Rattus norvegicus: one gene and its partners. The protein of the gene in region 4 interacts with the protein of the main gene of each other region in a biochemical or structural test. Links are inferred from orthologs where the notes say so. Each region holds a gene or a part of one and is shown on either strand. Other genes may lie near its edges.

Evidence for each region. The genes of interacting proteins can lie anywhere in the genome.
Region 1: the proteins of Topbp1 (region 4) and Mdc1 are reported together in a solved structure, tested with the Homo sapiens proteins (3 studies listed by BioGRID, with this or other methods). The link is inferred for Rattus norvegicus from reciprocal best matches to the Homo sapiens genes TOPBP1 and MDC1.
Region 2: the proteins of Topbp1 (region 4) and Rad9a form a complex in vitro, tested with the Homo sapiens proteins (4 studies listed by BioGRID). The link is inferred for Rattus norvegicus from reciprocal best matches to the Homo sapiens genes TOPBP1 and RAD9A.
Region 3: the proteins of Topbp1 (region 4) and Atrip form a complex in vitro, tested with the Homo sapiens proteins (2 studies listed by BioGRID). The link is inferred for Rattus norvegicus from reciprocal best matches to the Homo sapiens genes TOPBP1 and ATRIP.
Region 5: the proteins of Topbp1 (region 4) and Ticrr form a complex in vitro, tested with the Homo sapiens proteins (2 studies listed by BioGRID). The link is inferred for Rattus norvegicus from reciprocal best matches to the Homo sapiens genes TOPBP1 and TICRR.

The regions. Positions count from the first base shown.
Region 1 is NC_086038.1:2,911,482-2,916,541, forward strand, and holds the start of Mdc1 (mediator of DNA damage checkpoint protein 1), read right to left. Parts: upstream 3,480-5,060; 5' UTR 3,309-3,479; exon of another isoform or gene 2,997-3,308; coding exon of another isoform or gene 2,978-2,996; intron 830-2,977; coding exon of another isoform or gene 828-829; coding exon 692-827; intron 66-691; coding exon 1-65. UniProt on the Homo sapiens protein: Histone reader protein required for checkpoint-mediated cell cycle arrest in response to DNA damage within both the S phase and G2/M phases of the cell cycle.
Region 2 is NC_086019.1:210,921,683-210,926,780, reverse strand, and holds the start of Rad9a (RAD9 checkpoint clamp component A), read left to right. Parts: upstream 1-1,619; 5' UTR 1,620-1,706; coding exon 1,707-1,740; intron 1,741-1,822; coding exon 1,823-1,893; intron 1,894-2,328; coding exon 2,329-2,457; intron 2,458-2,728; coding exon of another isoform or gene 2,729-2,820; coding exon 2,821-2,935; intron 2,936-3,016; coding exon 3,017-3,116; intron 3,117-5,098. UniProt on the Homo sapiens protein: Component of the 9-1-1 cell-cycle checkpoint response complex that plays a major role in DNA repair. The 9-1-1 complex is recruited to DNA lesion upon damage by the RAD17-replication factor C (RFC) clamp loader complex.
Region 3 is NC_086026.1:118,597,466-118,602,608, reverse strand, and holds the start of Atrip (ATR-interacting protein), read left to right. Parts: upstream 1-1,664; 5' UTR 1,665-1,771; coding exon 1,772-2,021; intron 2,022-3,234; coding exon 3,235-3,365; intron 3,366-4,082; coding exon 4,083-4,253; intron 4,254-5,143. UniProt on the Homo sapiens protein: Required for checkpoint signaling after DNA damage. Required for ATR expression, possibly by stabilizing the protein.
Region 4 is NC_086026.1:112,776,018-112,780,516, reverse strand, and holds part of Topbp1 (DNA topoisomerase 2-binding protein 1), read right to left. Parts: intron 2,857-4,499; coding exon 2,690-2,856; intron 476-2,689; coding exon 312-475; intron 198-311; coding exon 1-197. UniProt on the Homo sapiens protein: Scaffold protein that acts as a key protein-protein adapter in DNA replication and DNA repair. Composed of multiple BRCT domains, which specifically recognize and bind phosphorylated proteins, bringing proteins together into functional combinations.
Region 5 is NC_086019.1:143,005,473-143,010,467, reverse strand, and holds the start of Ticrr (treslin), read right to left. Parts: upstream 3,480-4,995; 5' UTR 3,346-3,479; coding exon 2,683-3,345; intron 1-2,682.

The DNA of each region.
Region 1 (5,060 bases), on a different chromosome or scaffold from region 4:
AGGCAGGGCCACAGAGCAGTCAGGGCTTCGACCAACTACATTCTTGCCAAGGTAGAGTGGGAAATCTGAGGATCAGAGAAAAGATATGAGTGTAAGGCCAGAGTCCTGCCCTGAAGATGTTCTGGTTAGATACGCTAACCATTAACAACCAACAACAAACCCTGAGGCAGGGCACGCCAGCACAGAAAAGCATTTATAATGTACCACTCATCAGCAATGTTCTATCTACTCACATTATTTTTGTTTTTTCCCAGCTGCTCAACTGTGAAAACAGAGCGCCCTCACGCATGCTAGCTAAGCAATCTCCCTCTGAGCCATGGCTATAGCTCTTGTTTTGTTTTTTGATTTAGGGTCTTCCATGTAGCCTAGGTTATTTTCAAATTCACTATGTGGCCTAGGTTACCCTCAAATTCTCGAGTCACCTCCTGAGTACAGGGATCAAGAGCAGTAAGCACTTTTAATCACTGAGCCATCTTTTTAGTCCCCACATTGTATTTTTATTTGAAGCTCTTCATTTTCTCTTGACAAAAGAAAATCACTCCTAGAAAATCCAGGTCACCAGCCTTGAACAGTCAACTCAGGTGGCCTCTTTGGCATCCTTTGTAGTACAGTTATTCATATCCCCTTTGAAACCTTCTAACTTCTTCTAATAAGACCCACATTCATACTTTAGCTCCCAATATCCCCTGACCTCGTTCTGGTCCATGGGTACCACTGAAGAATCGCAGCCGCCCTATAGGCTCCACACTATACCCCAAGGATCCACTGGATATTTCTGTCTCTTCCTCTTCTTCAGCATCCCAGTCAATCACCTGAGTGTTTTCCATATCTATAAAGGAAACACATTATCATTGCTCCTGTCAGAAAAAAAATAACTAGAGGTAAACCTGGGTAAATGTGGAAATGATCTCTCTCTCTCTCTCTCTCTCTCTCTCTCTCTCTCTCTCTCTCTGAGATTGGGCTTCTCTATGTAGCCCTGGTTGTCCTGGAACTCACTTTGTAGACCAGGCTGGCCTCAAACTCAGAGATCCCCTTGCCTCCGCCTCCCAAGTGCTGGGATTAAAGATGTACACAACCATGGGTGATGATTTTCCATCAGTCAGTCATGTAACAATATTGAGGGGTGGGAGAATATGTCAGTGAATAGAATGTTTGGCTAGCCTGTGTGAGACCACATGTTCAACACTTAGTACAACAGTGAGGAAAAAGTCTTTTTTAATAGACATATGTTGGCATCTATCTGTAGTCCCTGCATGTGAGATGATGAAGCAGGAAAATTAAGGACTGGGGACCTTACCAGACAGGATGATGTGCAGCTTTGATTATAGCAATGGAAAGGCAGAGGTAGGCAGGTCTCTATTTGGTCTACATAGCCAGTTCCAGGCCAGCCAGAATCACAGTGAGACCCCCTCCAAAACAGAACAAATAATATATATATATATATACATATCTATACTTTTGGCCAGGACACAAAGTATACTATTATACAGAAGGGGATATTTTATGTGACTTGATTGCTTGTTTTTAGATACTACAGACTGAATTCATAGAATGTATGTCCTGGATAGACACACCCCATTCAGCTATGAGGACCTTGAAAGCAGGCACTGCTGATAGCTGTTTTCTCATGACACACCAATACAAATGCTCTACCACAGAGCTATATCCCCAGCCCACAGATGGGTAAAAAAAAAAAGATACGCTGGATTGAGGTGGTGTATGCCCAAAGTATGGGAGCAGCTGAAGCAGTGTAATTGCTTGAGTCCAGGACTTCCGGGTTAGCATGGACAACACAGTAAGACCCCATTAAAAACAAAAATAAAAACAGCAAGGTGGTTCTCAGTGGTTAAGAGTACTGCTTGCTCTTCCAGAATACCTAGGTTCGGTTCTCAGGACCCACAGAGGGGCTCACAACAGTTCATAACTCAAATTCCAGGGTATCTGACACCCTCCTTGGAACCATGCACTCACCTGTGTGAGGTATGGGTTTTGAGAAACAGTGGTATGTGAAATATACTGTTTCTGGGGCTGGAAAGATGGCTCAGCAGTTAAGAGCACTGACTGCTCTTCCAGAGGTCCTGAGTTCAAATCCCAGCAACCACATGGCTCACAACCATCTGTAATAGGATCTGATGGGACAGTGTATTCACTTTAGAAGATAAATAAATAAAATAAATCTTTAGAAAATACTGTTTTCCTATCCTGTTTTTTTTTTTTTCTAACCTGACACACACAGAAGAAAACTAGTGAGGATCAAACTTAGAGTCTTACACATGTTCTAATTTGTAAAAGCCTTTTTACCACTCCCTAATTGATTTCACCATCCACTGTTGAGTACTGTCTTGTATCAGGCATAATAGCCAAATGAGACCAGGAGGTAATACCTCCAAAAATTCATTTGCTCAGAATAACACAGCATGTAAATAGAAATAAAGAGTCACAAAGCCCCTATTTTATGCACTCTCATCAGCAAACCTCAGCTTGAAGGGCAAAGAAGCAGAGAAGCTAACATATAATAAGGCGTTTATATGTTAAACACTATTTTAACACATTAGGTTGACTGACTCATTTATTCTTGGGAAGAAGTACCCTGTAAGGGTAGGGCTGTTTTTTTTTGTTTGTTTGTTTTTGTTGTTCTTTTTTTTTTTCAGATGAGAAACGACAACATAAGATGGGTTAAGGAACCTTTCTAAATCACCCCTAATGTTTTCTCGTATCTGCTAAGTTAACAGAATTAAACTAGATCCTTGGCAAGACCCTATGTCTTCGACATCTCTCTCCGGTGGAATTGCATCTAAATGCCCACCTCCCCTACTCTGGGATCCGTCTTATCTGCTCTACAGTAATTATGCACACCTGGTACGGTTCAGGTATTTGGGCATACATCCTCAAAATGAATCCTGCTCTCACGGCAGCTACACCGCCAGAGTTACTGAAATTAGAGACAGAAATTCAAAATTGCATGGGTGGGTTTTACCTATAAAGATGTCACACATGGAGAGACCGCTGACAGGGAAAGTAGTGTGTACCCCAAGAAGTAAACTCCGTCCTGTCAACCCAGTCGACGCCTACGACCCTTCGCTCCAATTGAAGGGCAACCATCTTTGATGCTCACGCTGGAGTTTGTTCCCTCGTGGCCTAATGTTTCCGTGTCATCAAATGGGCCAGGGCGCCAGTCAAGGATCAGCATAAAAAAAAATCTAAAACCGCAACCCAAATTACCTCCGCCCAGTGACACCTAAGGCACGCCCCTCCCGCCCTCAGGAGGAATCAAAGATGGTAACCGGGGCGCGGGCGGCCGAACTCACCGACTGAATCCGCGCGCGCGCCACCAGTAACGGCCGCTACCCGAGTGGCGGGAGTGCGAATCCCGGAAGAGAGTGGGTTGGCTGATTGGCTCCTGGAACTGTCTTTTACTACTGAAAGCGCGCCGATTGATTCAAAGCCCAAGTAGAAAGCCCCGCCCCCGCCTCGCCCCCTCACAGCTTAAAAGTGTGGCTACCGGCGGGAAACAGGCTGAAGGAAACGCCGACAATCAAGGGGTGTGGCCTGAGAACCCTGCGCCGCGATTGGGTAGCGCCCTGGACCAACGGAATGCTTCCCGCGCAGATTTCCAAACGCCTACCAGAGAGTCTGGCGCCAGTTGCTGGCGGCGGCTAGAAGGGCCCTATCATAGAAGTCATTCCAAGGCCAGAGCGCCCTTCTCGGTCATCCCAGAAATGGCGCCAGCTGACTCAGGAGAAATGAGGGGTTGCGGGCTGCAGTCGTGGCGGGAGTCTGCAGATTGGAAAACAGCCCGTAGGCGTGGCACTTTAGAACTCTCCATTGCAGAGGGATTTTATTTCCTTTTGATTGGGATTGCTTACTTCTCTTTTCTTCCACTTATATGTATGTATATATGAATGTATAAAATGACGGACATTTTGAGGGCATCTTCCTAAATGGAAGATCCTAAATAAAGCAAACTGTTTTGCTAGAACCGCAAAACTGTCGTCATCTTTCAAAAGAGGAGAAAGGCAAAATAAAATAATTTATTTCATTATAATAAAGCATGAACGTATTCCTGGAAGGTGGCTTGTATAGTTTAGAGTTCTCTCCCATTGGTTTTCTCAACATATCCACAATAAATCGCCAGACGTTTGAAGCTTTAAGTTGGATGGCTTACCCATGTTCCTACAGTAAATGAAACATTCAAGTAGCATAAAACACTCGCTTCCATTGTTAGCATAGCCAAAGTCGGAATACCGTATTTTTAATGATAAAAGGGTACTAATGCAACTTAAAAATGTTCTTTTATTTAAAAGATGACTTGAGCTATATGTTGATGCATGTCTTTGATTCATTTTCTTCTTTAAGCCAGAGAAGGGGGCTCACTATGTACCTCTGCCTAGAACTAACTTACAAGGTTAGCCTTGAACTCACAGGGATCCTCCTTCCTATCTGGGCCAACACACCTGGCTTACATGATTGTAGATACTGCTTACCAGACCCTTTCCTTTCCTTTGTTTTGTTTTTTTCTCTTTTTTAAAAGAGGCATTTATTTATGTGTATTAGTGGCTTGCTTGGATGTATTTTTGTGTACCACAAACCTGCAGAGTACAGAAGAGGATGTTGAGTCCCCTGGACCTGGAGTTATGGATGGTGGAGAGTTTCTATGTGGGCGATGGGAATTGAACCTGTTCTGAGAACAATAAATGCTCTTAATTGCTGAGCCATCTCTCTGGCCCCAAATATGTTTTGTGTCCAAGACAGGCTCTTGTTTTGTCGATCAGGTTAGCCTCCAAAGTGCAAGTATCTTTCTGCCTCCACCTCTCTATTGTTTGGGAGGTAGGGCAGGCACAATCTAATTTTTCCTTTCTATTTGTTCACTTAGAGATTAAACCTAAAGCTGTGCCTCAGGTTGTCCAGGTAGTCTCTAGGTAGCCCAAGCTGACCTTGAACTTCTCTTGCCTTCTAGTCAGGATTCTGGGATTAACCGTGTGAACCACTCCTGCTCTTATTCTAATGAATCATTTTGTATCTCCTTAAAGGTTTGAGGATACTTAGTATTTTTCAAAACC
Region 2 (5,098 bases), on a different chromosome or scaffold from region 4:
TTTTTTTTTTTTTTCCGAGACAGGGTCTTGCTATGTGGCCCAGGCTGGCATCTCAAATTCTCAAAGTCCTTAGTGGTAGGATTATAGGCATGAGCCACCATACCTGGCTTAACACCTATTTATTGATCCTAAGCTGTGTGTGACGCACACAAGACAGAGCAACAGACAAAACTGATGCAGTTCCAGCCCACGTGTAGTAGCCACAACAGCAGGGAGCACAAGTATTAAACACAGGAAAACTGATAGGCACCATGGAGTGTTCTGTGCCGAGGGAATCTTTGCTGTTGAGCCTAGGAAGAGAAGCCAGCATGGGAAAAGCAGGCCACAGCCTTGGAAGCAGCCAGAGTGACAGCCAAGGGCCTGACAGGACTTTGGAGATAGGTGATCAGAGGTAGGATACAGTGAAGACATGTGGGACCTGGATCCTGAAAGTTCCAGATTAAGAGACCAGACTTTGGAGAGTTAAGCTGGTGGAGGCAGATCGCTGAGGACAGTGGAGACAAGGAGGGCCACTTTGCCGTCTGTTTGGTAACAAAGTAATCAGAATCCACTGAAGAACTGATCAGATGAGGAGGAGAGGATGCTAACAGCTAACTCCAGTCTAACAGTGAACTGGACGCCTCTATGTTGCTCACACTGGTTGCCTTGGATGTGGAATGGGAAAGCAGTCTCCTCCCCGGAGGCTTTAAGAAAGGAGAAGCTAGAGAGGGAGAGGAGCCTAAAAAAGAGGAGTTAGATAACTAATACAGACTTCCCGTTAACCCACAGGACACAGCAGGGAAATGCAAGTGTTGCTCTAGGCTGTTCTTTTCACACTTGAAGTAACTAAAACCCAGAGAAAGTTGAATGCATCCCAGCTGATAGCCCTCATCCTTGACACTGTCTGGGTAATTGGTAACGTGTACACAAACTACGTGTAGTGCTTAAGCCTTTCCACGACTTCCCAGTTCATCCCTTCAGCCCTGACGGGCTCAAGGCTCGGGACACTCCACCCAGCCATATGGTCCTACCCCATTGTGCCTCTGCTTCTGACAGACCCATCCTTCTACCCTTTTCTGTCCCAGAACCTTCTGATCTTTCCGTGTATTTATGAAGGTCAGTGAAGGATCCTGAAATCAGAATGAACAGCCTCTTTTCATGGTTCTTGAAGCAAGTTACGTTAATTTTTTTTTTTTTTTTTTTTTTTGAGGGGAGCTGGTGGTTGCTGCCACAACAGAATCATCCCTGGCCCTGATTGAGCGCGAACTTTCCTTGACCCTGTAACCCCACACACTAAAGTTAGTGACTCCAGAGGGTCTACTCTTCCCATGTTCGGACTCTGGTCCAGAACTCGATCCTTGGTGCAGGCACCTTGCTCCTCGGAACTGCATCTAATGTGGGAGCCCGGTGGAGCAGCAGAACTCTGCAGGGTGGGAAAGCCAGACCCGATGAAGGACGCAGGAGCGCTCCCTCCGTAGTCACGTGACCCAGGCCACACCCAAGGAAACGACTGAATCACGTGGCGCCGAGCTTAGGAACGTTTTTCTCACGTGACGGAGGAACCCCGGGTGGACCAATAAGGAAGCGGAGGCCAGGCTGGCGGCGGGGAGGGGACGGTGCGCGGGAAGAGAACTTTAGGCATTCCTAGTAGCTGCTGGGACTCGTTGTGGGTTGTATCCCGTCCCGGTCTGGTTGTAAAACAAGCTCGGCCTCAGTGTTTATGTACCATGAAGTGCCTGATCACTGGGGGCAACGTGAAGGGTAAGTTTAGACCTGCTTTGCAGCAGACCATGTGAGCAAGCCCCTGGAGTCCCCCTAACCACTTTCTGCTCTCCTTCCGTAGTGCTGGGAAAGGCTGTCCATTCGCTATCCCGAATCGGGGACGAGCTCTATCTGGAACCCTTGAAGGACGGGGTAAGAGACTGGGACGCAGGGATGGGGGCCGATTCAATGGCGAGTGGGGAGCCTAGGCTTGGCGTTCACTCGGCCTTACAGGGTGATGGTGGACAGGTATTTCGGCTCAGTTTATTTCCTCTTGAGTTGTTGGGACATCAGCTTGGGCCCTGTCTTCTGAGGCTGCATGTGTATACAGAGGGCACTTAACTCTTCCTAGAGCGCCTTGTGGCAGGCAAGGTGGGGCTAAAGTAACTTAAGGGAAAAACAAGCATGGCAGACCCTGAGCCGCGGAAGACTGGGAGATCTACATGCAAGAAGGTCTTGCCACACAGAAAGGGAAGGGGAGTTTCATTAGGAAGCGATGGAAGAGAACTGCCGCTGGATGAAATGCAGGGCATTTAGTGAGCCTGACGTGGCCCCTGACTATTATCTTCCCTGCTTTTTGTGCCTCAGCTCTCCCTACGGACTGTGAACTCTTCCCGTTCTGCCTATGCCTGCTTCCTCTTTGCCCCCCTCTTCTTCCAGCAATACCAGGAAGCTTCCCCTGGTCAGGATCTGCTGCGCTGTAAGATCCTGATGAAGGTAAGGACCACCTGAAGCATCCACAGCTGTGCCTGTGTCAGGTACTCAGTAAATGATGACTAGGGAGTTAGTCTCATATGGGAGCTAGTCCATGCAAAATGCAGTGAGGTCGAGATGTTTAGACTCTAGAGGGTTATAAGAGCACTGGAGAGGGTGGTGACATTCAGGTTGGTCAAGAAAAGTTTAGCAGCCCTTCCCAGCAAAGAGAACAGCATGGACAAGCCTGGTAATGTGCAGACATCCTGCATGCAGTGGGAGCCCCCTTTCACAGCTTTGTTGGGCCAGTGATGGACCAGGGCCTACATGGGATGTAGAGCTGGTCCATGGAAGCAGAGTGCCAGGCCGATGTCCTACCCTGCCCAGTCCTTCCTGTCCGTCTTCCGCTCTCTGGCAACGGTGGAGAAGACTGTGGAGAAGTGCTGCATCTCCCTCAGTGGCAGCAACAGCCACCTGGTGGTCCAGCTTCACTGCAAATATGGTGAGCAGGCAGCTGGCCAGCTAAGAGTGGGGGAGTGGAGTGAAGGCTGTCAAGCCCACTGAGACCATTTCCCCTATCCAGGGGTCAAGAAGACACACAACCTCTCCTTCCAGGACTGTGAATCCCTGCAGGCTGTCTTCGACCCAGCCTCATGCCCCCACTTACTCCGCACCCCAGCACGGTGAGCATGCCTGCTTCGGACTTCACCTGAGTCTCTCCCACCTTTGGGGCCTTAAGTGTTATTCTAGGATATCTCACTCTCAGAATGAGATGAGGATGGCGAGTGGGGAACCTAGGCTTGGCGTTCACTCGGCCTTACAGGGTGATGGTGGACAGGTATTTCGGCTCAGTTTATTTCCTCTTGAGTTGTTGGGACATCAGCTTGGGCCCTGTCTTCTGAGGCTGCATGTGTATACAGAGGGCACTTAACTCTTCCTAGAGCGCCTTGTGGCAGCAAGGTGGGGCTTCCCACCTCTGGATGGAGGTGGGAAGGTCAGAAGTTTCAAGGCCAGTGAGTTTCTAGGCTAGCCTAGGTATTATGAGACAGTCTCAAAAAAGGGTGCATATGCTGGGGAGATAACTCAGTAAATGTGTGATGTACAAGCATGGGTGCCTGTTCCGAGTCCTCGCTTAGATAAGAATGTGTAATGTCAGTTGGCCGGCGGTGCACGCCTTTAATCCCAGCACTTAGCAAGGCAGTGGTTTTCTGTGAGGACAGCCTGGTCTACAAAGCAAGTTGCAGGCAGGCAGGCAGGCAAGCAGGGCTACAGAGAGAAACCCTGTCTTTAAAAAAAGGAACCAAACCAAACACCAAGATGGGCAGCACCTGAGAAGCAGCAGCACTGAGCATGTCTTCTGCCCTCTGCCCATGCACGTTCACACAACACAAAAGCACCTTTGCCTCTAAGGCGGAAACTCGGGGTTTCTGTGTCAAGGCCACACATCGCTTACCTTGCTCTTCAAGAACAGAAGCTGCTGTCTCTCGCCATTCCCACTGACTGTGGGTCCTGCCTTGTGTATCCCAGAGGCCTGCTCTGCTTGTCTAGAGAGAACCTATGACCTGCCTGCAGATCTCTTTTTTTTTTTTTAAACATTTATTATGTATACATCACACAGCTTTCTGCCTGCATGTATGCCTGCAGGCCAGAAGAGGGCACCAGACCTGATTGTAGATGGTTGTGAGCCACCATGTGGTTGCTGGGAATTGATCTCAGGACCTCCGGAAGAGCAGACAGTGCTCTTAACCTCTGAGCCATCTCTCCAGCCCCCTGCAGATCTCTTGTATGACCTGAATAACCCTGACAGCCTGTCCTTGACCCTGTGTCACAGTTTCAAAGCCCTCTGACCTCTCACTCTTCTGGTAGTGTCCCTCTTTTTTTTTTTTTTTTAAGATTTATTTATTTAATGTATGAGTATACTGTCCCTATCTTCAGACACATTAGAAGAGGGCATCAGATCCCATTACAGATGGTTGTGAGCCACCTTGTGGTTGCTGGGAATTGAACTCACAACTTCTGGAAGAGCAGTTGGGTGTTCTTAACCACTGAGCTATCTCTCCAGCCGGGTAGTGTTATATTCCTCTTATAGTGGCTTCTTCCTAACTGCCAGGGCTCTAGACTCTGGGCCAAAGGAAGGACCTGGGCAAAGAAGCTGGAGTCTAGGAGGGCTGCTGCACAGCCCGACAGCCCACGTCAAGACAAGGCATGGCAAGGAGAGTGTTCCAGCTGACATTAAGGTGGTCACTGAAGCCCAGAATGCAGTGGGTTCTCCCAGCATCCCCTGCCTGTGCTGGACACTGCATGCAAGTAGCCCAAGGTCCCACTCATTTCTCAGACTGAAGTCCCTTCAGGTCCCAGTGTCATCTTCCCCAGGGTCTGTTAATAGTGATAAGAGTTCCTTTTTGGAGGGGCTATTTCCCCCCTAAATACTGGCAACAGAACCCAGGACCTTGTGTTTGCTGGGTACTCTGTACCACTGAGCTAAATTAAATTCCCAGCCCTAACTGCTTCTCTTCCTCATATAGTTTCAATATAGAAGTCAGGATGGTGGCTCAGCAGTTAAGCCTGTTTCTTTTTAGCCTGACTGGTTGAGTTGTCAGGTTTTAAATCCCCAGAATCTACATGGTGGAAGAATGGACTCCCATGGGTTTTCTAGTCTCCACAT
Region 3 (5,143 bases), about 5.8 Mb from region 4:
TGTTTCCAGTTCAAGGGGAGCTGATGGCCTCTTCTGGCCTCAGACATACATGCAAGCAAAACACGGTCATCTCCAAAACGCAGCTTCTTTGGGCTTTAGGCCCATAGGGTTTTGCCAGCTGACACCCAGCTCTGTGCTGCTGAAAATAATTTATCAATAGTCATAGGCTCCTGCCACCAAACAGAAGGTATTTCTCTTTTATTTGGTGGAATCTAATCCCTCCTGACAATGTTCTTTCTTCCAGAAACAAAGATCTTAACTACTAAGACCCGGGCAATCAGGCAGGCATGGTAGCCCACACCACTTAGAGACACAGGAGGAGTGAAAATTTGAGGCCATCTCAATAAACAAAAACAGCTTGACATGGTGGTTCGTGTCTATAATCCCAGCACTCAGAGGGGAGGAAGGACATTCTGGGATTCCAGGGCCAGCTTTGGTTATAAGTTAAGACACTGTCAAAAGGGGGTGGGAGGATGGGACACTGGGAGGCTTAAGCATTCAACATTATGTTGAACAACTAAGGGAAATTACCAGCAGCTGAATCAAAATACTAAGGCAGTTCTAAGTGATCCAAGGCCTCTGACTTCTGTAGGCATCAGGCATGCATGTGGTGCACATACATGCAGGGAAAACACTCACGCATAAAAAAAAATGGGGGGGGGGAGGCGGGGAGGGGGGACGAGGGAAGGAGGAAGGGAGGAAGATAGGCACACAGGCCTAACACTTTCTAGGCCTGAGCACTCTCCTTTTTCACCGGATGCCTCAGCAAACATTGATTGGCTCACAAGCTAAGTCTGGCACTGAGCAGAGTAGAAAGATCTTGATCTTGTTGCTCTCCAATGCTAATCCCCCACGAATCCTCCCATTTCTGGTAACTGTTCTGCCCACCACTTCTGCTCATACACCCAAGCCCAACTCCTCGGTGAAGTTTTACCTCCTCTCTCTGCTGCAGTAACTTCCACCTGTCATCCTTGTCGAAGTTGAATTTTTTTTCTCAGAAACATCATGCGTCAGCCTCCTAACCCATTTTTCTTGCTATTTCTCCCTCAATCTGTTGGGCAATTCGAGGACCACTCCCGGCGAACCTTCGTTAACCTCTTGAGCTTCATTCGTCTCTACGCTACCAGCGCTCCGGACATAAAGACTCTCCAAGAAATAAATGGAAGTCGGAGCAGTTCCTAATAGGAGGCACACGTTCTCGAGACCATCCTTCCCAGACTTTTTCTCAAACATACATACTTGAAACTTTAGTTATCCTGGAAGATCCCTGCTTCCAGAAGAACGGCATTCCTTCTCCTCCCCACGTCTGCTCTTCCCAGCCTCCCCTCTGAAAGAGTCTCTGGACACGTGAATGGTGGGCCAGCCGCGAGGAGTGAGGTCAAGGACAGCTGACCCCTGAAAGATGCCTGCCTTGATTCAAGGCGAACTGCTTCTCTGTATTCTAGACAGTGCCGGGGGACAGCCACAGGTGAGGTCGGGCAGACGGTCCTCCATCTCGCAACCGGGGTAATGCTAACAGCACTGCAGTGTCCTGGTACTGCCGGGGACCTCAGGGTACTGAGCCCAGCAAGGCAGGAACCTGTCCCGGGTAACGGCGCGCTCTGTATACGTCACCCATCTGTGCCCGGTAGCTGGCAGCTGATTGGCCCGCAGGCTGGGGAGACGCTAGTAGCTGAGGGGAACGGCGGCGCGCGGGCGGTTGGGCCATCTCAGGCTTTCTGCCGATCAACCTGTGCTTGGCGTCCTCAGATGCTGCGAGCTGAAGGTAGTCATGGCCGGGACTCCCGCACCGAACAGCCACAGGAAGCAGAGTGGCGGCCTGGAGCCTTTCCTCGGTCTGTCTCGGTCCATCGAGAACCCTCCGAGCAAGCGGGCCCGGAGCTTCTCTGAGACCACAGTTCCGGACCCCGAAGACCCATTCGGCGAGCACGCGGAATTTACTGCGGACGACCTAGAGGAACTGGACATCCTCGCGTCACAGGCCCTGAGCCAGTGTCCGGTCGCGCCTCCGAACCTGTCCTGTGAGTGCCGGGGGGGGGGGGGGGCGGGGGTGTTCCCACGGCGGGTGGTGCAGACCTCTTCAGCTTGGTAGCTTTGGTACTGGCTGCTTGCACCGACGTTACCCTCTCACTTTTAAAAACGAAATAGCACCCGATCGAAACGCGGTTCTGTTTCAAACAACCCTCTAAATTGGTGGTAAGACAAAAAAAAGTCAAAGGGCCTCACATATGCAGATTTGAAATATAGACAGCTAGACTATTAATTATTTTCCTTGAAACATGACTACGATCACCTCAGGACCGTCACAACGCATGTGAGAGGATTTAAATGTTATGCACCCCATTGTTAGAAACCCTTGGGCAGAAAGCTTCTGTCAGAGGCAAGAGATGAGAGATTCATACACCACCAATGCTGGTTGCCCAAAGGTGAGGAATGGCAACAGCCATAAGCAATGGGCGAGCGATGCCAAAGCTGCTTTCTCTCTTAGAGCTTACACTCTTGGGGAGTAAGTTAAGTGTCAGAAGGGTTTGATGGAGATCTTGCAAATGTACTTAGCATTTAAAGCATCCGAAAAATAGGATTATCCCTGGAAATGTGGTCGGTCCTCCATCTCTCCAGCAATATTGCCTGGGAAACACTCATTGCTGACCAGCTGTATTATGCCACAGTGGTTAGGCACTAGTTTCCACGAAGTGGTACAAGGCAGCACCTCCCCATCCCCACCTCTTGGCCCTACGTCACTCATCATCCCATACTCTAACCCTGGAGTGTCCCCACCCTGGGGACGTATCCATTTTGTTCACCATCGGTCTTTAAAAACCAGCAGATCCTGTGCCTAGTGTGTTCAGTAAATAGTATTCATAATAGAGGCACAGCCAATGCAGACTCCTTTCAGCCATGAGCTGAGACTACAGAAAGTGGGTGGGGATCGAAAGGGGGAATATTCAGATATGCTATGCCAGAAGGATTCTCTATATCATGCTCTGAGATCGGAACTAATAAATACTGTTTACTGGGTCTATCTCAACTTGGACTCCTTTTGCATTTTATGACAATGGTGGGTATATAGTGAGCCCCCAGGTATATATACATGGTATTTTCTTCCAGACAGGTTCTCCATCTATAACTAAGCTAGCCTTGAACTTGAGATCCTGGTGCCTTAGCCATCTAAGTGCTGGGGTTACAGTTACATGCCACCATGCTCAACCTAATGGGGACTATTTTTTTATACAGGTGCTCATAAGGTCCGTCGACTAGATGGGTTACCAAATAGTCCTATAAGGAAAAACAGAGAAGATATTCCAGTTAAAGATAACTTTGAACTAGAAGTACTTCAGATACAGTACAGAGAACTTAAAGAAAAGGTGTGTAACTTTTGGGTTTCCTTTTTTGCCTGTTTGGTTCTAATACTGAGAATTGAACCTAGGACTTTACCTTCACACATGCTATACACATACATAGCTACAGTTAAGTCATACTTCCAGCCCTAATTTGTTGTATTTGTAGCTGATTCATGTGTTTATGTATTAAGAAAACATGGGTAAAATACATAAAGATATCTAAAACAAGCACCTAGAGTCACCTCTCTGAAATGACAGGAGGTGGGGAAGGAATGCCTGCTACGTTATTTACTCTGTGTACATACGTGAGCCTGTGCGAGTTTATATGCACTGCATGTATGCAGGTACTTGTGAATGTCATGGGTGTTGGATCCTCTGGAACCATCGTCACAACTGGTGTGAACCACCTGACATGGGTACTGGGAGGGAACCTGGGTCCTCTGTAAGAGCAGTGAGTGCGTTTAGCTGCTAAGCCATCTCTGCAGCCTCCACAGCCTGTAGCCTGTCTTTATCTGAGGAACATGCCATCATAATGGCTGCTATTTTGTTAGTGTTGCAAGCTCTCATACATCTCTCATGTGGGTCATCTGTAGGTGCCCAAGAAACCCAGAAATATAACATGGAATTTTAGTCCATGTAAGGTGTGATCTGTGGTGTTAAAGCTGAAAAAATCTATGTCAATGGTGAACGTATTCGGAAACTGTTGTTGCTGAATATCTGCTAATTGGGCCTAATTTGCAGCTGAAAGCAATGGAAGAAGAAATCCTAATTAAGAATGGAGAAATTAAAATTTTGCGTGACTCACTGCATCAGACAGAATCCGTTCTAGAAGAACAGAAAAGATCACATTTTCTTCTTGAGCAAGAAAAGACTCAAGCACTCAGTGAAAAGGAAAAGGAATTCTCCAAAAAGGTGAGCTAGAACATTTGTGTTGCGTGCGACGGACAGTAGTGTTGCCTACCGCTGAGTTACAGTAGAAGCCATACTATGCCTAGGCAAGCTGGCACATGCCTCTAATTTCAGGAGGCAGAGGCAGGTGGAGCTCTGTGAGCTCTGAGCCAGCTCACTGCAGGGTGAATTCCAGTCCAGTCAAGTGAGACCCTGTGTCTAAAAAATAAACAAAATAAAAGCAGTAACCAACCAGCCTTGCCTGGAAATACACAGCCATTGTCTAAGTGCTCTCCACTCTTAGTGGGTGGTATGTGCCTTTCTTCCGTGGTCTGCATTTGTTTTGGACAAGGAGTAAGATGAGGCCCTGCCTTGCTGTGGTTGTGGTTCTTGGCAGGAACAAGTCACTAGCTTAGAATCTCTAGGATAGGCTTGAATTAGGCTCCTTGGTAGGTTAGAAATCCAGTTGGCTCGGCTTAGCCAGAAGGAAATACATTAGCTATCACATCCAAGTCTAGGAAAACAGGGGCATAGTAGGGCTTCAGATGGTGTAAACCAGACATCTCAGGCTCTCTGTTGTGAGACCTGTTGCTCTATCAGCAGGGGTTCTGACTGGATGAACTCATACATTTCAAAACTCCAGAGCTTTGATTTGGGCTTCCTCAGCTGGGCATAAATTGGGAGGCTGGTACAACAGGGTTACCATGGGTCCAAGGCCAGCCTGGGCTATACAGTGAGATCCTTTTTCAGAAAGCCAAATGAAAGGCTCCCTCATCTCAAACTTAAAATTTTTAAAGAGGCAGCCCATTTTCAGCCGGGTTCTGAAAGAGGTCTCATTTAAGTCACAGGCAGAGGGAGGAAAGGGAGCTCGTGTTCAAAGAGAAATGGTAGGTACCAGTCTCAGCACCACTTTC
Region 4 (4,499 bases):
GCTGAAACTTCTCATTAGGAACAAAGTCCTTCTTAGAGAATGTGCCACTCTTTTCTAAGACAGTTGTCTGGTTTCTGGGCTGATCTGAAACTGGAATTCCATCTGGCTGGTAGTTAGCGTGGATATATGACTCTTCAGGAAGTATATATCCTTTACTAAAACACTCCAGCAACCACTTTGCTCCCACTACATGGGGCCTAGAAAAAGAACACTCGGTTAGGCAGCAGTCCTGGCATTCCCACAGCTGCAGACGTGCAACTCTAACCCAAAACATCCCAGTACAAGTGCTCCAAATTAAAGGCTGACAGGACCTGTGGGAGGATTTGCTCCAAAACTGCCTCACGTCATCCTCATAATCTCCCATGATTACATGAGTTACATCTTCATTGAGTTGATTAAACCGAACTCCACCTCCACTGTTAATAAGCCTTCTCAACTTATCGAGCTTTCTGCCACTAAAGCCACAAAGATATATCTGCAAAGGAAAGATTTCTTTGAATTAACATACTCAAGAAGAAAATTGTATCCACTGTGTGTAAATAAGATACTTTATATACATTTTGGGAGATACAAGGAATAAAACATATTCTAAATCTAATGTGAACACACAGGTACTGGCAGCTAGCTCCCCTCAACCCCCCAGTGCTGGACACCATCACTCACAGCTTTTACATAGGTGCTGGGGCTCAATGTTTTTTCACAGCAAGTGCCTGACCCACTCATCCATCCCCTCAGCCTATCATCCATCCCCTCAGCCTAAAACTGGTATTTGTAACTGGTATTTGTTTACAGTCCCACAGCACTGTGATCTCTCAGTAGGGTTAATGCTGAAAATGAATCATAAGACAGACTTCAACATCTTCAAATGATGGTGCACAACCTGTTCCAAGATTTTCAGTGTGTGTGTGTGTGATCAGGCTTGGTGGGTGGCAGAGCTATTTCTGACATGCAATAGCTCCTTAAGTTGTAAAGGAACTTCTTGTAAGTGAGTAATTACAAAGAAAAACTGTAGCTTGCTATAAACTTGAGCACCCAGGCTTGCCTGTTTGCATCAGCCATATGACCTGAGCAAATTCCTTAAGGCTCTGAGCCAACTCTTCCTGTATATTTATCCTTCCTGAAATTTCTTTTCTACTTGAATTAAACAAAACAGCAAATCTAAGAGCTGAGCACACTGCTTTGAAGAAACATGTATACAAGGATTCTAGATGTGAGGGTACATATTTAAGCCAATTTAACATAAATTTTTTCACCTCTTTTAAAAATTTCAAAGAGGACAATCTATTTCCACATGTCCTAAACTATCACCATTACTAGAATACATCCTAAAATTAGGAATCAAATACTGCCTACATAGAAAGAAAAATCCAAAGTTACTTCTAGAATTAGTATGTCCCAAGATCAAAGAAAAAAAGATTACACAAAGTGTCTTTCTGTCCCACTAGTATGTTGATAAATCTTAGGAGGGATAACAGATAACTGGCTGTAACGGTTTATATATGTTTGGCCTAGGGAGTGGCACTATTAGAAGGTGTGGCCTTGTTGGAGGAAGTGTGTAACTGTGGGGTGGGCTTGGAGACCCTCATCCTCACTGCCTGGAAGGCAGTATTCTGCTAGCAGCCTTCAGATGAAGATGTAGAACTCTCAGCTCCTCCTGCACCATGCCTGCCTGGATGTTGCCATGCTCCAGCCTTGATGATAATGGACTGAACCTCTGAACCTGTAAGCCAGCCCCAATTAAATGTTGTCCTTTATAAAACTTCCATTGGTCATGGTGTCTGTTCACAGCAGTAAGAGCCTAACTAAGACACTGGCCTGAACAATAAAACACACTAAGCACCTACTCTGAGGAAGAGGGTAGCTAGCTCATCGCTGCACAGACAGCACTGTGTGAGGTCTGTGGATCTAAAATACAAGACGCTTCCACCACAGAGCTCATGGACACACACTGAAAATAATCTTACAAAGCAAACCCTTTTTCTTTTTATTTCTGAGCACTGAACGCAAGGCCTTGTACACAATTAAGGAAGTAGACTTGAATACCACAGTATTATCTGTCTAGAACTCTGAGATAGCATTTTATTGTATTTTAAATTTACATTTATGCCTTGTGTGTATACATGTGTGGGCATGGCACAAGTGCATGCCACAGGACAGGATGAGGCTCACTCCTTCCACCACATGGGGTTCTAAGGACTAAGCACAGGTTGTCAGGCTTAGCAACAAGCACTTTAGCCACATTGCCCTAAAAAAGGATTTTAATCTTCTAAGTATTACCTTCAAGATAATAAACCACTTTATTTGTGGGAATTAAATTATACTTTAAATAAAATAATGTAACATGAAATGATTATTGGCATTAATGTATTGTAAACAACAAATGATAGGTATGACTGAATACTTTTAAGGTAAGTGGTAAGATTTCAGAACAGAGTTGAAGTTAGGTTAACTCAGAAATAGAGCTGCAGCCCAGGCACACTCGCAAGCACAGTAGAGCACGGCAAGTGGCAGCTTAAGTTAGTGCAGAGTTTGTTAACGCACATAAGGAGCAAGTGCAACTATGAGGGGTCTCTGGAGTCAGGCTGAGAGTGTGTGGGTACCTGGACCTCACTGTGTAGCCCGAGCTAGCCCTAAACTCGGGTCTGAAGATTATTCATCCTTCTGAATTTGTTACCTAATAAAGACATACCCGACAGCCATCTAATAGATCTTCAGGTGCTTGAAACATACTGATGTCCAGATTTTCTAGGTTCTCAAGTGTGCATTCGAGTTTGCTCGTAGTTGAACCAAACATTGTTTCATTTACACAGCTGCCGTTGATGTTGGATATATGGCTGACATCTGCCAGCCTGTGATCTACAAATGTAAAAGACGGTGATAAATTCCTGAGGTAAAGGAGTCATTGCACGCTTCCTTATAAACTAACTTTTCCTGTAAAGTGGTTAAGGGGTAAACCTACAAAGATTCAGAGATTTTTACTGAAATCTTAGTGACAAAGTACAAAAAATTAAATTCGTTCTTTTTTTTTTTTGGTTCTTTTTTTCGGAGCTGGGGACTGAACCCAGGGCCTTGCGCTTCCTAGGTAAGCGCTCTACCACTGAGCTAAATCCCCAGCCCCAAATTCGTTCTTAAAGTGAAATTATATTTAATATTTCTTTAAAGTGGCTTATATCCCATAAAAGCATACAGTTCCTGGCTCTAAGGTCCAAGAAGGAGGATTTGCTAAATGGCAAATCTCTTCCAACATAGAAGAGATCAGCACTGACTAAATAGGCTAGCCTAGCTGACACATCAGAATGACCATCACAAAGGGACTGGAGGCCTTTCTATCTGCTACTGTTTTGTATGTAGCTGTCTTGGAACTCTTATGGAGTTCAAAGAATAAGACTGTGTAGTTGTTTCTCTCTTCCACCTTTCCATGGATTCTGGGGCTTCAGTCTGTTGGATTTATATATCAAAGCATTTTAGCTGCTATACAATGAGATTTTTGGTTTGGTTAATTCATTCTTGAAGCAGAGTCTCTTTATGGTATACCAGTGGTTCTTGATCTTTAAATGGAGCCCTTTGGGGGTCAAACGACCCTTTCACAGGGGTCACCTAAGACCATAAGAAAACAGATACTTACGTTACAATTCTTAACAGTAGCAAAATTAGTTATAGAGTAGCAACAAAATAATTTTACAATTGGGATCACCATACTATGAAGAACTGTATTAAAGAGTCCTAGCATTAGGCAGGTTGAGAACCACTGTTCTACCCAACACCAGGATCACCTCGAACTCAGAGCTCCACCCACCTCTGCCCCCAGTGCTAGGGCTGAAGTTATGGACCACTCACTGTACCTGGCCTTTTGTTTTGTTTTCTGAGGCAGGATCTCACTGAATCCAAGTTGGCTTTGAACTCTTTGTAGCCAAAGAAGACTTTGAACTTCTGACTCCTTCATCTCCAACTCCCAAGTTATAGTATTAGAGGTGTGTGTCACCACACTCAGCTTTATAATGCAGTAAGTAGTAGGACTCAAAATCAGGACTTCATACAGGCAGGATTTGTATGCAATGATAATTTATAATCATCACAGTAAACTAATAAAGAAAATATAGGATGGGTGTGGTGGCACACGCCTTCAATCACAGTGCTCAGGAAACTGGATCTCTCAATCTAAGGCCTACCCGATGATCTACTGCTAAGGACCGTTCTCCGCATGGAGAGGGATTCTGAGAAGGGGTGTCTGGGAGCAGTGAAAAGAACAACTCAAAGTCAAACCAGGGGTCCAAGCTGAGACGGCTTTCCAGACTGCTCCTGCGCTCGCTCGCTCTCTTCTCCCCCCCCCCCACTCTCTCTCTCGGGGTGTGTGTGTGTGTGTGTGTGTGTGTGTGTGTGTGTGTGTATTCTGCTTTAGACAGCTTTTTCTCACTATTCTAAAACTAGTTGAGACAGTTTTCTCTGATAGCAAAAATTCTTAAAAGCTATCTGGATAGCTCATGGGTTTTTTGGCCACC
Region 5 (4,995 bases), on a different chromosome or scaffold from region 4:
TTTTTAAAAATGACACTTTCATGAACCTTGATAGGTCAATTAAATGCCACTGCATTTGGGAGGCTAAATCACAACCTGAGCTATATATACCACAGGCCTTGTCTTTAAAAACAAAACGAAACAAAAAACCAGGGATGTATTGGTCTCAAAGTTTTCTTTCAGTCATGCACAGCAATCTTGGAAGTTTCGAAGTGCTGAAACAGTAAATAGAAATTAATTAACCAATTGATTAATCTGTTATCATCCATGTAGTTCACTGTTATGTGAAAGAACAGCAAACTAGTTCAGATGTCACTAGACACAAATCTACTGAAACTGATTCAGCCAGAAGAGCAGCTTGGAAGGGTAGGGTGGGGCTGTCTGTTGATAAAAGGCAAAGTTAACAGAGGACTTTTCACTTACCTGTGTTACTTATACACAATTCTCCCAAGCACTCCACCATACCCAATTTATATTGGAAATCTTTAGTTTATGTGTACAAATTTATTATATGTATATAGGTGTTTCTCTTGTATGTATGTCTGTGCACCACTTGCCTGTCTGATGTCCTCGGAGGCCAAAAGGGGGTGTCAAATTCCGGGGTGGGGGAAGGGGGGATTACAAAAGGTTGTAAGCCACCACATTGGTGCTGGGAATTGAATTCAGGTCTTCTGGAAGAGCAATCAGTGCTCCTAACCTTAGCCATCTCCAGCCCTAATACACCTAATATTTGTTTGTTTGTTTTCAAGTTAGGGTCTCACTATCCTGGAACTCAAGATGTAGACCAGGCTGGCCTTGAACTCAGATCCACTGGCCTCTGCCTAAGTGCTGGGATTAAAGGCATGGATCAAACAACCTGCTTTAACATATTTTTATTACAGCTGGAGGGATGGCTCCGCAGTTAAAGAGTATTGTCTGCTCTTTCAGAGGAACTAGGTTTAATTCTTGGCACCCACATGGCAGCTCAAAACCACAGATAACTCCAGTCCCTAGAATCTGGCCCTTTTCTGGCTCTCATAGGTACCAGCCTTGCAGGTAATTCACAGACATACATGCAGACAAAACACCCACACATGCAAAATAAAATTAAAGTTTTAAATTAATTCTTGGAAATGTTCTTACCCCCAATTCTTGCCCTAAATTTTAACATTCTGTATGACTACTGTTAATTTCTCATCTGTAATCTTGCTGTATAACCAACTCCTGGTTTAGAGCTACGCAGTTCTATTAACTGGAAGCTCCTCACCCATTTAAACCACGTTCTAAATCTTCTCATTGATCAGAACAAAACCAACGTTTCAAGCCTGGCCTGGGGGACTGGCCACTTCTTTCTAACTTCGCCGATCTCCCCATTGCTTTTCTGGGTTCTGGGCTCCTCGCCTTTCTGTATGTAATACGAAGCTCACTCTTAGCTCATACCCTTACACACACCTTCTCTAAGTCTAGAATAGTCTTTCCCAGCTTCACATTCTTCCTCATTCACTATCCAAGCATGCAAGAAAGGCCTTTTCCCCTACATACACCTCTAAGTACGAGAACCAGCTCCCTCCCCTCACCCAGCCTTTCTTTGGAACAAGTTTTGAAATCGTCACTGATTTGCTCATCTGCCTAATATATCTTCCGAACTAGAAAATACACTTTATTTACCCACCATATCTCTAGCACCTAAAACAGGGTAGGATGTACCTAATGGAGTAGCTCATTAGTGCATATATCTTTACCAAATGATGTAACAGAAAGAAAAATTTATATACATATGAAGGCAGGAGACCAAGAGTTTAAAGTCATCCTCCATTACACAGAGTTCCAGGCCACTACACTACACCAGTCTGTTTCAAAACTAACAAGCGCGCACGCACACACACACACACACACACACTATTAGCTGTTTTAAGACTAAGTTTGTAGAACAGTGATTAATTTAATCAGCAAATATTTACTTAACACTCACAATGTTCAATTGTGGGGAAACAGAAAACGGAGTTAAGACCTGGTAGCTGGCTTTGAGATTTTTGTTGTTTGCTTTTTTTGAGACAAGACCTTGCAGCCCTGGCTTGAACTGTGGCTAACCTGCTTCAGCTTTCCATGGGCCACTACCATTGAGGTAGCATTTTTAGAATGAATGGAAAATGACAGGTGTGTCCAACTGGAACAGAATAGAGAAAGAGCGCCAGCCACAACAACAAAGGGGTTTTGTTTTTGTTTTAGAGACAGGGTCTCTCTGCATAGACCTAGGGGGTAGATACACCTGACTCTCTCTGCATCCTGAGTGCTGGGATTAAAGGTGGGGGGCTGGGTGGCCATCAGGGCGAGCCAACAACAAACGTTAAGAGAAGTTTCTATTGCCTTAGAGTGAGAGGATTAGAGGTCAAGGAAGACACAGCAGTACAAGACAAAACAATCGGTCAAGCCCTGTAGCCTGGCTGAACCAGGCTTCCACATGCTGGAATACAAATGCTGTGTAAAACTAAGTACGCAAAAGCACACTGGTACCAAAGCGCAGAAGCTCTTCCACTTATATTTAGTAGGTACCCAGAATCTACCCATGGAGATCTGGGTGGAGGAAAATCTGTCCTTTGTGACCCGCAAGGGTTTCCTTCGGAAAGAACACAGGGTTCATTCTGGGTCTATGGCACTTTACAGAGCCTGACAATTTCAGCTGTCGAGGAGCTGTGTACTGGATCAAGACTGCTCTCCCCTTACCTTAGATCGCTCGGTGGTGTCCACCCAGTACAAGGTTATATTTCGGGCGATCATGACCTCCTGGACTCTCTTGGGCAACACCTTTTCCATCAGCTGCTTGGGGGTGAGCGGCACGCGTTGAGCCTGGGCCTCGCACCCGGACACGAACTGAAGCAGCTCCCTCTGTGAGTGCGGACAGGGCGCCAGGAGGAAGACGGCGTTCCCAAAGCCCCCGAGCGCGGTCTCGGCCTCCTTGGCCTCGCTGTCGGCGTCCAGCAACCTCCTCCCGCTACTTCGCAGGATCGGCTTAGTGGGCGACGTGATCTCCGGCCGGTCCCACTGGTAATCGAGCAGCGTCTCCATCAGGGCACCGTGCGTGTGGGTGGCCCTGGGCGTGGGGCCGGGCAGGTGAGCTCCGGGAGGGCGATCCCCGAGCCTGGCCTCCAGCTCCTCCTCGAAGTCCTCCCAGGAGCGGCTCCCCAGTTCGCGGAAGTCGGACACGCGGGAGGGCCGGTTTCGCGCCCCCTGAGAGTCGAAGAACTTGAAGGTCCAGTGGACCCTGGCCAGGCCGAAGCGGCAGCTCAGGTAAGTTAGGAGACGGAGGGCGGCGCGCCGGGCGGAGCTATGGCGAGCAGCGTCGCCCGCAGTGTCCACCAGCAGCATCACTTTGTGACAGCAGGCCATCTCGGCCGCCACGGGACTCCCTCCGCCCGGCCCCGCGTTGCCCTTCCTGGGGTAAAGCACTCTCTTCAGAGAACCAGCGCCATTGCCCGCTCCTCTGAGGCCCTGCTCCGAAGGCTCCCGCGCTCTCCGACAACTGCTGCTATTGGAGGAGCTGGTTTCCAAGCTCCGCTCCTATTGGCTGCCGGCTGAACGTAAGTTACGTAAGCACTTCCATTTTTAAGCCTAACTGGAAGGCGTGTGGAAAGCCTCCGCTTGATTGGTGGAGGGTGTGGCGGTGGGCGGGGCGCTGAGTTCCGGGAGAAATTTAGTTCTCATTGGCTTGAGCCTTCGTTTTAAAATTTAAAGAGGCGGTACTTCGGGGGCGTGGCGGTGGGCACGGAAGCCCGCGTTTGGGCCACTGTGCACAGAGGTGTGTGAGTGTGTGAATGTATATGGAGGGGTGGGGAGAGTTGTGTGTCTGTGTGTGTGTGCGCGTGTGAGTGCGCGTTGGTCGGGGTGTGTGTGTGTGTGCGCGCGCGCGCGCGTGTGAGAGTATAAGTCGCCTGCCAGAGGCGGGGCATGTTTACTAGAACCCTGAAGCCTGGGATGTGCACAGGAAGGGGTTTGGGATGAGTCAAACTCGCTTTAGACTAACTACTCTTAAGCCTTTTAGGGAACAGAATCCTTTAACCGAGGGCTTAATTTTTTTTCTGTAAAAAGACGAAAAATACATTTCAAAAATCCCCAAACTCAGAAGGCGGAGGTGAGACTCGTGGATTCCAGGCCAGCGGGGGGCGGGGGCGTACTTAGCAAGGCTACTTAGCACTCGGATATTCTATTGTAAAGGACGGGAAGGCAGGGAGGAGTTGTAGGGAAGAAAGGGAAGTAACAGATCTCATGTTTCAGAAAGAGCACTGTGGGTCCCAGGTGGGAAAATGCAATATTAAAGATACCTAAAAGAGTTAAAACAGAAGCAGCGAGGTAAACCAGGAGTCTGCAGAGCACCTGGGAGGCTGTTTTACAAACTAAGGAGTGAACACACCAGAGAGTACCTAAGCCAGTTCAATGGGTACTGAAAAATCACACTAGAACGTCCGATTCCCAGCACCTGCCTTCTTACATCTCATCCATTAATAGACATTAGTATTTTTGTGACATATTGGGTTGTTTTTTACTTGATTTTGTTGCGTGCTTGTTTTTGTGACTTTCTCTTATATTCCAAATTGGCCTCAAACTGTACCTTGAACTTCTGATCACCTTGCTCCACCTTCCCAGTGTTGGGACTGTAGACATCCCCCCCCCAAACCTGGTTTATGGGGTATTGGGGATCAAACCCAAGGCTTCCTGAATGCTGGACAGCCAAGCGCTGAACCAACATCTCCAACACTCATATGTGCCCCCCACCCCCACTCCTCCACCCCACCACTTTCCTTTTAACTTTATTGTATGTAGGATCATGGGAGTGTTGCTAGGGATGGAACTCCCAGCCTGGCATGTTCTTGGCAAGCATGCTCCCTTTTAGTCCCATCTCTGGCCAGTGGCTTTTTTACTTTTTTTTTTTTTTTTTTTAAATTTTGTGTGTATGAGTGCTTTGCCCATATGTTCATACTGTGCTCAGAGATTGGAATAGGATCCCTGGAAATGGAGTCGCAGCTGGCTGTGAGTCAGCAC